Linked DNA regions of Rattus norvegicus. The protein of the gene in region 3 purifies or fractionates together with the protein of the main gene of each other region. This does not show direct contact. Links are inferred from orthologs where the notes say so. Each region holds a gene or a part of one and is shown on either strand. Other genes may lie near its edges.

Evidence for each region. The genes of interacting proteins can lie anywhere in the genome.
Region 1: the proteins of Tuba1b (region 3) and Cct6a purify together in Homo sapiens (affinity purification with mass spectrometry; 3 studies listed by BioGRID and IntAct, counting the BioPlex papers as one, with this or other methods). This does not show direct contact. The link is inferred for Rattus norvegicus from reciprocal best matches to the Homo sapiens genes TUBA1B and CCT6A.
Region 2: the proteins of Tuba1b (region 3) and Hdac6 purify together in Homo sapiens (affinity purification with western blotting; 4 studies listed by BioGRID, with this or other methods). This does not show direct contact. The link is inferred for Rattus norvegicus from reciprocal best matches to the Homo sapiens genes TUBA1B and HDAC6.

The regions. Positions count from the first base shown.
Region 1 is NC_086030.1:32,516,027-32,520,514, reverse strand, and holds the start of Cct6a (T-complex protein 1 subunit zeta), read left to right. Parts: upstream 1-1,442; 5' UTR 1,443-1,460; coding exon 1,461-1,597; intron 1,598-2,225; coding exon 2,226-2,289; intron 2,290-3,032; coding exon 3,033-3,167; intron 3,168-3,487; exon of another isoform or gene 3,488-3,622; intron 3,623-3,746; coding exon 3,747-3,920; intron 3,921-4,338; coding exon 4,339-4,442; intron 4,443-4,488. UniProt on the Homo sapiens protein: Component of the chaperonin-containing T-complex (TRiC), a molecular chaperone complex that assists the folding of actin, tubulin and other proteins upon ATP hydrolysis.
Region 2 is NC_086039.1:17,221,741-17,226,220, reverse strand, and holds the start of Hdac6 (histone deacetylase 6), read right to left. Parts: upstream 3,047-4,480; 5' UTR 2,876-3,046; exon of another isoform or gene 2,801-2,875; intron 2,714-2,800; exon of another isoform or gene 2,506-2,713; intron 2,500-2,505; exon of another isoform or gene 2,470-2,499; 5' UTR 2,440-2,469; coding exon 2,350-2,439; intron 2,260-2,349; coding exon 2,131-2,259; intron 2,010-2,130; coding exon 1,921-2,009; intron 1-1,920.
Region 3 is NC_086025.1:131,969,472-131,974,275, forward strand, and holds Tuba1b (tubulin alpha-1B chain), read right to left. Parts: upstream 3,117-4,804; 5' UTR 3,018-3,116; coding exon 3,015-3,017; intron 1,949-3,014; coding exon 1,726-1,948; intron 1,595-1,725; coding exon 1,446-1,594; intron 1,281-1,445; coding exon 300-1,280; 3' UTR 135-299; downstream 1-134. UniProt on the Homo sapiens protein: Tubulin is the major constituent of microtubules, protein filaments consisting of alpha- and beta-tubulin heterodimers. Microtubules grow by the addition of GTP-tubulin dimers to the microtubule end, where a stabilizing cap forms.

The DNA.
Region 1 (4,488 bases), on a different chromosome or scaffold from region 3:
ACACGAGTCTTCTGCATGCCAAATATCATATGCACAGCTTTTGCGATCTCTCAAATCTCCAAAGCTACTTTAAACATTATACTTAGTGTAGCCAGAATAGCAAGAGGTTTGGGAATGTCAGTCCGATGACTGGTTAGTTCTTTTTCCTTTTTAAATTTTCTGTATTTCGAACCTATACACCTGCTAAACCTTCTGTTTTCTTTGGACAGGGTCTCACTACGTAGCCATGGTTGGCCTGGAACTTGCTATGCACACCAGGCTGGCCTTGAAGGCACAGAGATCTGCTTGCCTCCCATGTTCTGGGATTAAAAGCATATGACACTACGCCTGGCTATGTATCGTTTCTGTAATGAGTATCACACAGATGTTGAGGGGAATGAGAATTTCTTATTCCTATCAAAATGGCAAAACCTTCAGTATAGCTCAGTAGAATACATCCAACGGCATTATGAGTTGTCATCTGTGTGGAGAAGTGACTCAAAAAAATTCAGCACGTATCGTATCTATACCTAAGTGCCCAGACATACTGGCAGGGGAAACATCTATACGCTTAGTTGGTTTTGTTTTTGTTTTTGTTTTTTAATGTTTAAAGGAATGCTTTCAAAGACTGGGTACCACTGTCCAGCCATATTTGAGTTTTTAGCAGGCTTAGTTCATAACACGTTGGAGGTTGAGGCAGGAGGATTGCTACGAGTCCGAAGCTAGACAGTGAGCTGTCTAGCCGGGACACAGAGTGAATCTTTGTTTCATATTTTTAAAAATTAAGAAAACAAAACTGCCTCAATGACCTGGGCCCTAAGAATAGACTGATTCTTGAGGCTCCTCAACGCCCATCGCACCACTCCTAAAGCCATCTAGTACTTTCTGCCTAGCAATAATGCTCCCGTCAAACTCCGGGATTTTTAAATGACCAGGGTAGAGGGGAAGGGTCCATTTTCTGTGTTCCCACATTCACGGATAAAAATAGGCAAGACAAATGAACCTGGGAAACCTCGCGAGAGTGTGAGGGAAGCATCCCGGAGTCCAGTAGCTAGAGACACCCCGCAAATAGAGGCCGACACCTCTGCTTCCTGTCACGCCCAGTCGAGTGCCGAGGTCGAAGCATCCCTCACACACGAGCAGTAGTGCTTTTCCTGCAAAACTGGCCGCGCAACCGCCACGCCGTAATCCTTAAAGCGCGGAACCGCAACGTTGTGAGGCGAGCACAACGGAACCTTAGAATTCGGAGTGCGGATTACCGGAGAACAAGTTTCTCGGATGCGCAATGACGTCGCGACTTGGCGTGTGGGCGGGCCCAGAGAGACCAGCGTCAGGATAAGCCAATCAGCGGGCACCAAGAGAGCCACAATCCAATGGAGGTGCTCTGTGGGCACGCTGGGGGCGGGCCAGATGCGTAAGACTTTTCGAGAAGACCCGCATAGAGCACGTTGTTCTCGGCCTCTCCCTGAGCTCGACCAGCCATGGCGGCGGTGAAGACCCTAAATCCCAAAGCCGAGGTGGCCCGGGCGCAGGCAGCGCTGGCGGTGAACATCAGCGCGGCACGGGGCCTGCAGGATGTTCTGAGGACCAACTTGGGCCCTAAAGGCACCATGAAGATGTAAGCCCGGGCTGGCGGGCGGGAGGGCCTGGCGGGTCAATGGCCGCAAACTCCAGTCGCTGCCTCCAGGCCTTCGCACTAGCATTTTCTACAATGTTTGTGCTGCATCCCATCCAAACCACCCGGATTCGCGCCTTTCGGGGTTGCGGGTTGCACCCACTTCTTTTGGAGGAAGAGGATGGCGTGTGCACCCTTCCTGAACCCAGCCCCCCCGAGTTTACTAGGATGTAGGAATAAGACCCAAATTTCAGGAGGATCTGTTTTTGTTACCTTATTAGCCAGCAAATTAGTGAAGTTCCCTGAGACGTAGCGCTTGGATTTTTAAGTATACTCTTAGTCACGCCTCTCGTATCCGTTCCTCAAATTACGCCTGCTTTGGAGTCCTATTTCATAGCCTCCTTTTGTCCCCTTTACTCCTCTTTCGCTTTCGTGGGTCTTTTCATTATGTAATTAGTCGAGGTAGAGTCTGACTGATAAGTTATGGTTTGTCTGGAACTCCCAGAGATTTGCATGACTTTAAGAGAGGGTTGGGTGATATACATCACCCCTTGGCTGCTTTGTGGAATTCTTACTTGCTTTTTTATTGGAAAGTCACATTCTTGCTCATCAATCCCTGCCCGTTTGACAGGCTTGTATCTGGTGCTGGAGACATCAAACTTACTAAAGATGGCAATGTGCTACTTCATGAAATGGTAAGAAGCTGCCGTGCTAGGTATTAAAAAAAAAAAAAAACTTTTGACCTGTTCCTTCTGGATAAAATTCTTCATCGTACGTTTCAAGCAGAAATATAGGAAGTGCTGTAGTGGGTGAGGAACTCTGTAGAGTCTCAAATGTGTGTTTGGGTCCTTGGTATTTTGTTTTGGTTTTGGCCTACTTTGTATAGTCTGGGCTAAAAAAAAAATAATAACAATAATTGTATAAAAGATCGCTATGTCTGCTTTAGCTAAATCTTGTAACACAGCTTTAATCCCAGTACTCAACTAGATCTCAGGATTCAAAGCCAGACAGAGCTACATATGCAAAAACAGGGCAGTGGGAAAGAAAAGCAAAAATGAATGATCATCTTTTTACTCAACTGCAGGAGAAATGAAAAATCTCCTTACTTTGTTTGAGATGAGTCTCACTGTGTAAGCCTCAGTGATTACCTACTTTCTTTCCCTGAATGCTGGGATTAAAGCTGTGCGCCTCACACCAGGCTACCTTAGAGTTGTTATTTTTGTCCCTGGGATCATATTAAATTGACCCAATTACCCATTTCCCTCACCAGAACTTTCAGGTCCTGTAGTTCACATCCCAGTAAAGGGAATGTCTTGAACATCCAACCAAAATGTAGCCATGCTGTGCAATCTTGAGTGGGACGCTGTAAAAGAAGCCTTTCTTATGTTTTACCCTAGGTAACCATAAGTCATTTAAGTAGTTCTTTTTCTACCTGCAGCAAATTCAACACCCAACAGCCTCTTTGATAGCAAAAGTGGCTACAGCGCAGGATGACATAACCGGCGATGGCACTACATCCAATGTCCTCATCATCGGAGAGCTGCTCAAACAAGCGGACCTCTACATTTCTGAAGTACACAATGATTCATGTTTCTGAGTTTCTGCTTGTTGTTTGGTGGGCTAATGGTGCTAATTGATGTGATGCTAGCTGAGGGCACACCGTAGAACGGTTGAGCTGCTTAGCTCAGAGAGCCTCTGCCTGTCTGTCACTGGTCTGAAATGAATGGGAAAAAATCACCTCTAAGTAATGATTACATATTTTTAATGGACTAGCCTACTCTGGTTTCTTTTTAAAAATATTTCAAAATGATGTGAATTAGTTTCAGATTACCTGTAGACAAGAGAAGCAAGCTCTTACAGCAAAATGTTAGGAGCCAGTTTTGAGTTCGTGGATTGCACAGTGAACACCCAAGTGTGCTCTGTAGTTCCCTTGGCCTTGACTCTGTGCTAGAGTAAAGTCTGTTCTTTTCCTCTGCATTGAAAGGAGTACTGTGTCCTTTTAAATGTATTCAGAAAATCAGCACACCATCTTAATTGTAGTGAATAGGAGGGCCCCAGGGTGTCCCTTGAGATTACTGACTGACTGGGTTTCAGTGGTATCCTGTTGAAGATGCAGGTGTTGGCACTGGCTTTATAGCTGTTTGGATTATAGGGTCTCCATCCCAGAATAATAACCGAAGGCTTTGAAGCTGCAAAGGAAAAGGCACTCCAGTTTTTGGAACAAGTCAAAGTAAGCAAAGAGATGGACAGAGAAACACTCATCGATGTGGCCAGGACATCTCTGCGGACTAAAGTTCATGCTGAGCTTGCAGATGTCTTGACAGAGGTGTGTATCGGCCTCGTGTGGTGCAATGCATGGGGAAAGTCTGATGTAAAAACCTGTTCTAAGCGTGCATGTGTAGGCTTTTCACAGAAAGTCTGTGTAGAGGAAGGGGTTAGGGTTTTCCCTGGGCAGTAATGATCTAATCTGTCTTCAGCTTGGAAAGATGGAGTTAGTAACAGGCCAGGCTTAGGAAGAATTGACACTCCTCCAAAATGTCTCTAGTCATACTTTGGGGAACTGGTCTGCTAGTCCACAATACAGTATGAATTGTAGGGCTGAGATTGGGGACCTGTGCCACCATAAAATAGCACTTGTGGGGTTTCAGAGACAATTTTCTTAAGCCTTTTCCACTCTTCTGAACAACAGCTAAATAAAGTGTGTCAGGCTCTGCACATTAAATTTATTAATGGTTATCTCATAGGCTGTGGTGGACTCCATTTTGGCCATTAGGAAAAAAGATGAGCCCATTGACCTCTTCATGGTTGAGATCATGGAGATGAAGCATAAATCTGAAACTGATACAAGGTAGGCAAGAGAATGCTTTGAAGTGCTTTCTACCACTGAGCTGCGG
Region 2 (4,480 bases), on a different chromosome or scaffold from region 3:
TCTTGTCCCATCTCCTACCCACCCTCCCATAGCTGCTCACCTCTTACCTGCAACATTAGCATTTCCTTACGTCTTCCACTACTTTCCTCCCTGCTAGCATTCATGCGGGTAGTGGGAAACTGCAGTCTGAGCTGTCTGCTCCATCACCTTTACCCGAACCGCCCCCTGCTTCTACACGGATTCCCCCAATAGCCCCTCCTTTACACTGCAGCCAGCCAGTGGTTAGGATTTTTACTCCTCAACACCCTTTTGTAGCTCTGACTCTGTTCCCAGTAAAGCCAAACTTTGCATCACACCTAGAAGGCCCTAAAAAATAAAGCTAGCCCCATCCCTATTCTGGTTCTTTCTAACCACACCCCTCCTCTTTCACCTTGTTTCCTGGGCTATGGTCCTTGGTCTGCAATTAAATCACATTCCCTTCAGCTAGACCTGAGGACTTCAACTGTCTTACATGTCTGGAATACTCTTTTCAGCGATGACTCATGGCTCAGTCCCTTAGCCTCCCCCCTCCGCCCCTTGTATCTTTACTCAAATGTTAGCACTACCTCCCCTAGCTATTGTATTCCAAAGGGAAGCACCCCTTCTACTCAAACTTTCCTCTCCCTCCCACCTGAATTCCTCTGCTCTAACACTGTAGAGGTCACCTCTTGACTACTTCTGAAGGCAACTTTGTTTACGGCTGTATCCTCAACAAATGTACCATAAAGAGAGCCTCTTGACATCGTGAGTTAGTTTCAGGTTAGGATAGGGGAGACGGCTACTATATTTGTAAATATCAGTGTAATGATTAACAAACGATGACGGAGGCTAGTAAAACAGCTAAGATCAGATGTGAGAAAGGTAGTGGCCAGTCAAAGGCTTCTGCGAGTCTCCATAGCTGTGAAAGTTGAAAGAGGAATCAGTCAAGGGTAAAGACCCAAGGCTAGAGGGCGCCTGGCATATTGAAAGAAGAGAAGGCGGCCAGTGTGAGTGAAGTGAACTGAAGCACACAAGGAAAGGCCTGGCTGAACAGGTCACAAAAGGTGACAGGGAGCCAAATCACGTGGAACCTTAGAGGCCAAGATAAAGAATTCCAATTTTACCTTAAGAGCAATGCTCTGGCCTTGAAGTATTTTAAGAAAGGAAATATCTCAAATGTATTTTTTTTTAGGTTTCAATGTGGAGGCTAGAAGCAGGGAACAAGTGGAAAGAAATCAGATAGTGAATATATTTTGAAGACAGAGCCAAAAAGAATAAATAGATTCTTTCGAGAAGTGTATTTCAGCATAAATGTCTCATTCTTTTTTTTTTTTTTGGTTTTTTTTTTTTTCGGAGCTGGGGACCGAACCCAGGGCCTTGCGCTTCCTAGGTAAGCGCTCTACCACTGAGCTAAATCCCCAGCCCCAAATGTCTCATTCTTAAAGAAGGCTCATGCTAGCTAGAGGCCAGGGCCCTCTAACAATCATTTCTAGCCAAGTGTAGTAGTTTATGCCTACAAATATCAGCACTCAAGTGGCTAAGACAGGAGGCTCATGGGAGGTTTGAGGCCGATGACTACATAATGAGTTCCAGGATAGCCCAGGGTACAGCGTCAGATTCTATCTCAAAGCAAAATTTTGCACGTGGATTTCCCAGTCATTTCGTCTTCATTGAACAGTTTATACCACTGTTGGGTGTTTAATGATCTCCCCTCATACTCACCAGTGAGCTGAGAAAGGTCTTTTCTATGTTGGTCACATATATCAGTAACTCTTGGCACACAGTATACACTCCGTTTATTGGCTTAAAAGAAAACCCTTTCCAGAATGATCCCCACTCCCTAAATCACCTGCTTCCAGACTACAGGCTCGAATAACAAAAGATTCACTCTTGTTTGTGGGAAGAAGGGGGCAATTGTGTAAATTTTATAGTTTGGGGACAATTTGGTGATCCCAGGCTCACCTGTCATCCCAAAGGCAGTGGAAGTCATTTAGCTGTTCATCAAATACCAATCCAGTACCAACTGGTACTCTTGTCTCAGAGTTCAGATCCTGCAGGGGAAAGAAATGAAACACAGATCCAATCAGAGGAAACACCTCACACCGTCCATGATGGGGAAAATCACTGTTTTGTTTGGTAAAGAAGGCCAAACTTCAGCCAGGCCTCGCTTACCAGCCCTTGAAGCCCAACGATTAGGTCTTCTTCAGCTGGTTGGCTGAGCTTCTTCATTTTGCCTTTCTTCTTTACCTCCGCTAGATTGGGGCTGGAGTGGGGTACAGCACCCTTCTTCCCACCACGCTTCTGCCAATCAGAGAGAAGAATCAGAAGACATGGATGGCTGGCTTCCCACCCCCCCTTCCACTCCCCAGCAGGGCTGGTCTGGGGCCTCACCAAGGTGGCGCTGGAGTCCTGAAGGGGCGATTGGGGATTGTGCCTACTCTTTCGCTGCCTGGTAGAAGAATCTTGGCCGGTGGAGGTCATGGCTGAAGAGCCTTTGCTCCTGGAACGGCTCTAGCAAAGGTGTCGTTGGTGGTGAGGCGGCTGCAGTGTCCAGAGGACCCCACATCACAGCTCCTTTCCAGGCCCCGCCCCCTATTCTAGAGCGCAGCCTTCACCCCGTTCCATTCCCGAGCCTTCTAAACCCCGCCCCCCCCAAGGCCATCTTCTCCTAGAGGAAACCTGGTCCGGTCCATTCCCCCTGGACCTCGCTGCTTTTACCCGATTCTTTCCTCATTTTGCCTATTCACTAAACGAGGTAAGCCCAGGCTCAGCCAGGCTCTTCTAAGGCCTGCCCTGTCCAGTCACCGCCCCCCACCCCTCCACTTCCCACATCCTTTCATACCTCTAATCTGCGCTCGGAACGCTTGGCTTCTGCAACCTGCCCGCTTCAGCCTAGCTCCCCAGATAAATCACCCACCTTTCTCGTCCGCCAGACCAGGCTGCCGCGGCCTCGGCAGCACCCTCAAAGACTCACTCAACTCCACCTCCTGTAGGGCCGAGCCCGCACCTTCCTCTCTCACAGATCTCGCCCCCAGCTTTCCCCTTTGCCCCGCTGCTCAGAGGACTGCCCCTTTCGAGCAGAATCCTTCAGACCCCACCCCCTTCCCAGACGCCTACCGTTTAACCAAGCTCCCTCAGCCGGTGGCAAGCCTCCGCCCAACTCCCGCCCAGCCATCCACGCCGGCCAATCGTTTTGTCCCTACTTACTGAGCACTGCCCCCTTTCCAAACTCCGCCCTTGACTCGCGCCGCCAAATTCCCGGCGACCTGTGTGGCCCCGGGCCCTCATCCCTTCTTTTCCATTGGGCTGAGCGTTTTAATTTACCCGCCCACCTCCAGCCCACAAAACTGATCTAGTCCGCCCACAACGCTTCGGGTGCAAACCACACCTCTCGCGAGCATGCCCGTGGAACCGGTCCTACTGCGCCTGCGTGGTGTTCTACTCCCAGGTTCGAGACCCGGATCTGCCCCTAGCGCTAACACGCTCCCCACTCCCCACCCCCGCATCCACCGCTGCTGTGGTTCGGATTGCTGCTGCCGCCATTCTCAATTCCAGGCTAGTCATCCTAGAAGACCTACGGATTCGCATCAGTTGTGTTGTGTGGAGCAAATCAAAGAAGCTAGGATGTTTGGAAGAGACGTCTGCTCCCAAGATTCCTGAGCTGCGTTTGGCGATGACGTAGCTCGCGCCAGCGGGTGACTAGTTCGAGATAAACGCTAATAATAGACTTTGGCTGGTGGCAACCCAAATGAGTGTGATGGTAAATGTTGATAATTTCCTGAGCTACTAGTCACTCCGATGGTATTCAAGAAGCAGCCCCAAATGTTAGCTATTAAGACTAGAAGGAGTCTCTGCGAGCTGGTGCAGGGGTGGGGCCTAAGTGGCTCAGTGTGTCAGAAAGCCTGACTTCTGTGAGGCAGTTTGCATTGTTAAGGCTGCTCTGTAGACAACACACAGAGGGACTTAGATTTAGATCTTGGCAGGTCACAGCTCTGTCCTCAGCTTCCTCTCCTGGAAAATTGAGATGCTAGTACCAAGATCAGAATGGATTTGCAAAGGACTGTTTCTCCTGAATGGGAGCTCAACCTACCTGTCCCCCTCTGAGTAATCAAACTAATAGCAAGTGGTAGACTGAGAAGGGAAAATTGTCCCTGTGACTCTTTGAGATGCCCATCCTGTGTCTAAGTATCTAAGTATCAGTCCCACAGGTGACCGAGTTGTCCTGATCTTCCCCCTCTTGAGGACACCATTTCCTAAGGAGCTTTCTGGCTGTGACCAGAAAGAAACCATCTGGGGTTCTGCATCACTGACTAGCAAGTAGAGTGACAGTCCCATAATCCAATAGCCAGACCCTTGGAACCTCTTGCAGATGCCAGTTTCAGCCCTCCACGTTCTCAGCACAACTTTTGTCTTAAGGGCAATCTAAATCTACACACACGAAAGAAAATAATACTACATAAAACATGCTGGGAGAGATTGAAGATCACTGTAGAACATGAAGTCCCATGTTCTTGTAGAGTCA
Region 3 (4,804 bases):
CTAGCACACAAGAAGCCACGAATCACCCAGGTAGTTACCTCTAATTACTATCATAGGGATTAAAACAGGAGGGGCAGGCCTAGGCTGATCTAGGATACAAGAGGTTTATCCTAAGTAAAAAGTACACAAAGACGAATTCTTTTCTTAAAGCTTTTACTTTGAGACGTCATGGGAAACTTAAGAGGTACACATGGAGAAGACATGATCACAGAAGGGAAACAGCATAGAAGCATCGATGCCTGCAGCTAGTGCTGGAGCTGGAGTTGAGTTTGACATGATACAGGGACTGCAGGAATGAACTAGTATTCCTCTCCTTCTTCCTCACCCTCACCCTCCACAGAATCCACACCAACCTCCTCATAATCCTTCTCTAGGGCAGCCATGTCCTCACGGGCTTCAGAGAACTCTCCCTCCTCCATGCCCTCACCCACATACCAGTGCACAAAGGCACGCTTGGCATACATCAGATCAAACTTGTGATCCAGGCGAGCCCAAGCCTCAGCAATGGCTGTGGTGTTGCTCAGCATACACACAGCTCTCTGGACCTTGGCCAGGTCGCCACCAGGTACCACAGTGGGAGGCTGGTAATTAATGCCAACCTTGAAGCCAGTGGGGCACCAGTCCACAAACTGGATGCTGCGCTTGGTCTTGATGGTGGCAATGGCAGCATTGACATCTTTGGGGACCACATCACCACGGTACAGCAGGCAGCAAGCCATGTATTTACCATGGCGAGGGTCACATTTCACCATCTGGTTGGCTGGCTCAAAGCAGGCATTGGTGATCTCTGCTACAGAAAGCTGTTCATGGTAGGCTTTCTCAGCAGAGATGACAGGGGCATAAGTGGCCAGAGGGAAGTGGATGCGAGGGTAGGGCACCAGGTTGGTCTGGAATTCTGTCAGATCAACATTCAGGGCCCCATCAAATCTGAGGGAAGCAGTGATGGAAGACACAATCTGGCTAATAAGGCGGTTAAGGTTAGTGTAGGTTGGGCGCTCAATGTCGAGGTTTCTACGACAGATGTCATAGATGGCCTCATTGTCTACCATGAAGGCACAATCAGAGTGCTCCAGGGTGGTGTGGGTGGTGAGGATGGAATTGTAGGGCTCAACCACAGCAGTGGAAACCTGGGGGGCTGGGTAAATGGAGAACTCCAGCTTGGACTTCTTTCCGTAGTCGACAGAGAGCCTCTCCATCAGCAGGGAGGTGAACCCAGAGCCAGTTCCCCCACCAAAGCTGTGGAAAACCAAGAAGCCCTGGAGACCCGTGCACTGGTCAGCCTGTGGGAGAAAAGGACATATAATGTCTTATTACCAGGGCATACACTATTTCAATTCCTTTAGACTGTGAGCCATCTCTACCTGATAGGAAAGACCTGACACATTTTGACAGATACCAAGACACCCTCCCACTGCATTTTAAACCCATCCACATAGGGTATTTACCAGCTTGCGAATTCTGTCCAAGACAAGGTCAATGATCTCCTTGCCAATGGTGTAGTGGCCACGGGCATAGTTATTGGCAGCATCTTCCTTGCCTGTGATGAGCTGCTCTGGGTGGAAGAGCTGGCGGTAGGTGCCAGTGCGAACTTCATCTGAAAAAGGAGAAGACGTCAGCCATCACCACCAAGGACCCCACAAGCTCACTCACCCTTCCGGGTCTGGAGAGACATTCTGAGTATGTGACCAAGAAGGACTGCCCCAGGGAAGCCCCCAGTCCACTTACCAATAACTGTGGGTTCCAGGTCTACGAACACCGCCCGGGGCACGTGCTTGCCAGCTCCTGTCTCACTGAAGAAGGTGTTGAAGGAGTCATCTCCTCCCCCAATGGTCTTGTCGCTTGGCATCTGGCCATCAGGCTGGATGCCATGTTCCAGGCAGTAGAGCTCCCAGCAGGCATTGCCGATCTGGACACCAGCCTGGCCGACGTGGATGGAGATGCACTCACGCTGTGGAAGGGAAGGAAGAAAAGAATATTAGCAATGTTGCAAGCAATTGAGTTCTTAGTGGCACAATGTGACAAATTCGGCCACTTAGGCGTGGTTACGGCTTTCCCTTTCTGAATACCAATATACAAAGGCCGTTCATCTACCGTCTCAGCTCTACTTTTGCTCTGGTGTCCAGATTTCAGAACAATTCTAGGCACAGGAAGCACTCAGCTGGAGCAGGGCAGGGAGGTGCCTCGCTGCAGGGACAAGGGGCTGGGCTCTGCCGCAGGTGGTAAAGGAGCAATTTTGAGAGCATGCGCCTTGAGCAGCCTGGAGGCTGTTGGCTTTCAGCTTCCTCTATTTGTAGGCACAGAGTTCAGCTCCTCCACATCTGTCTTGGTTCAGCAGGGGATTATCAACTGCTGCGATCCGATTTCTGTTCCCTCAAAACACGTCAATGTCATCATCTGGTCCCACCCAAATTTCTGACTGGAGATTTGAGGGAATATTGCCCAAATTCCTTATTGCTTTCATTAAAAGCAAAAAGGTCGTGGCTGAGATTGCAACTCGGCAGTAGCTGGTTTAGGATGGTAGAGATCCTACGTTTGAACTTCAGCTTAAAACAGGGATCCAACTGGAGACACACCCAAACGAATTAAACCCGCAGTGCCTCAGCGCGCACGCGCACACTGCGGAGGCTCTTCCCGCCGCTCTCAGGCGGGAATGTAACGGTTGCGCATGCGTCCTTTGTCTCCGGCGCCTTCCCGCCCCCGCCTTTTCGCGCTAAAGAGGAAGTGAGGGCGGGGAAAAGCCGCGCGCGCCCGAAAAGCAGCAAGCAAGTCAGGGATGGGGGAAGGGCCCCCGCGGGAAGACAGCAGTCTGAAAGCGCCACGCTGCAGGTTTTGCGCAGGGTGTGATGATTGGAGACCGGATTCCAGAGAGATCCGAGTGCTTCCCTTCTGCCCCAAACCACGGACGTCCCCAGCATCATGGGGCCCAAGCTCTTCCGCACGCGCACCCCTCGATCATAGCCCCGGGCGAGCTCCTCCCTCCCCTCCATCTCCCCTCTCCAGACCAAACCACTCACCATGATAGCTACGGGTTAGAAGGCGAGGGTGATAGAAGCAGACACCGGGTCCCGGTTACCGTTCCCGACAACTAAGAGTCGAGGTAAGTAACGCAATGAGGCGGAGGCGCCCGCGCCGGAGCCTCTTAAGTAGCAGCTGAGGAGGGGCGGGCGCGACCGCTGGTCACGGTCCCTCCCCGGACCAGCCGCGTCCATTGGGCGCCCGGCCTGACCGCCGCAGAGGCGGGCTCGGCTCCGAGCCCCCTCCCTGCGTGGGCCCGCGGGGCGGGGCCGCCGCCGCCGGGGCGCGCGCCTTGCTGCAGCCAGGGGCGCGCCGCTGCAATGCGGGGCGGCAGCGGGAGCTGCGGCAGAGGTAACTAGGGGAGATTCACACTATGTGGGCGAACCCTGGAACCTGGCCGGCCCGCAGTTTTAAAGGTGAAGAAGCATCCTAAAATGCTTGTGGTCCAGATAGCTCGGTTGATTCTATTCATGTGGTCACACTGGATGAGTGAGTTTTATCTTGCTCCTTGCTTCCTTTAACGCCTGTGCATTTTGAACTTACCTGCGGTGAAAGCCCCCTTTGAAGGCGAGTCGCCATACTTGATACATTGCTCGTCCTCGATACTAAGGGTATCAAGTACTGGAAGCACTTTCAATCACCCAAGGAAAGGGTGGTAGTAGCTAAGCATGAAATATTGAGCTTATTGAAGTAAGGGCAGAGTAGGCCCCATCTTTAGCCTTAAGCTATCAACTGGATGGAATAACCTAAGTAAGGACTCTTTGAAAAGATTTCTAAACATTTGAGGCAGTAGCTAAATGGAACAAGTGAGGCGAAACTAGAAGGAAAATGTCTCACAGAAGAATATTAGGGATTTCTTGTGCTATGTAAGTTTCCTAAAAGGATTGCTTGGCGCTGTGTTGCATATCGGATTATAAACTACCCCCGAATTTATTTCAGGACCATAAACTACTATTCATAAGGTGATCGGCGCTAACGTGTGGCTTTAAAATTGCCCTCACATTGCAATTACTAAACTATTCAAAATGTCCTCCCGGCAGAGGCGGCACAGAGCACAGATCCTTTGCAGCTGTGCAGCCTGAGAACTCCCCCTTTCAGATCCTCAGGCGCCTCTTAGTCAGGTGCCCTGGGATTCTTGTCATAGTGCAGCTAAACACAATTCCAGGAGTCACAGTAAAGGAATGCTGTAGCCAGTTAATTAGGAGAAGGAGCAGACAGGAGTTGAGAGCAGGATGCCCCCTGTTAGAAGAGGAGGGTCTAGAAGCTTCAGCAGCAGTTTTGTGGGTAATTTGGGGGTCTAGGAAATGGTTCAGTTAGGACCGGAGCTTGATTCCCCAGAGCCCAGAGGGCGTGGGGGGACAGTCATGGTGGCTGGTGCTTGTATTGCCAGTGCTGCAGAGACACAGGCTCAGAGGCTAGCCAGAATAGCCGTTCTGGATTAGTTCCAGGTCAGTGAAACCATGTAACAAAAACAAGCAAACAAGGGGGAAAACAGAAATACACCCATATATAAATTGGTAGGTGTGATAAATTTAAAACAAAACTAAAGTTGATCACTCAATCATATGATGCTCACCTATGTGCTATGTATACACACACACACACACACACACATAACACACACACACCAAAATAAGTAAAAGATTTGCGGAAAACATGATCTAATTTCCTTGTCAAAAGAAGGCTTCTTACCTAGCAAGCGCAAGGCCCTGGGTTCGGTCCCCAGCTCCGAAAAAAAGAAAAGAAAAAAAAAAAAAGGTTTCCAGTTTTGTTTTGAGACAGTGTTTCA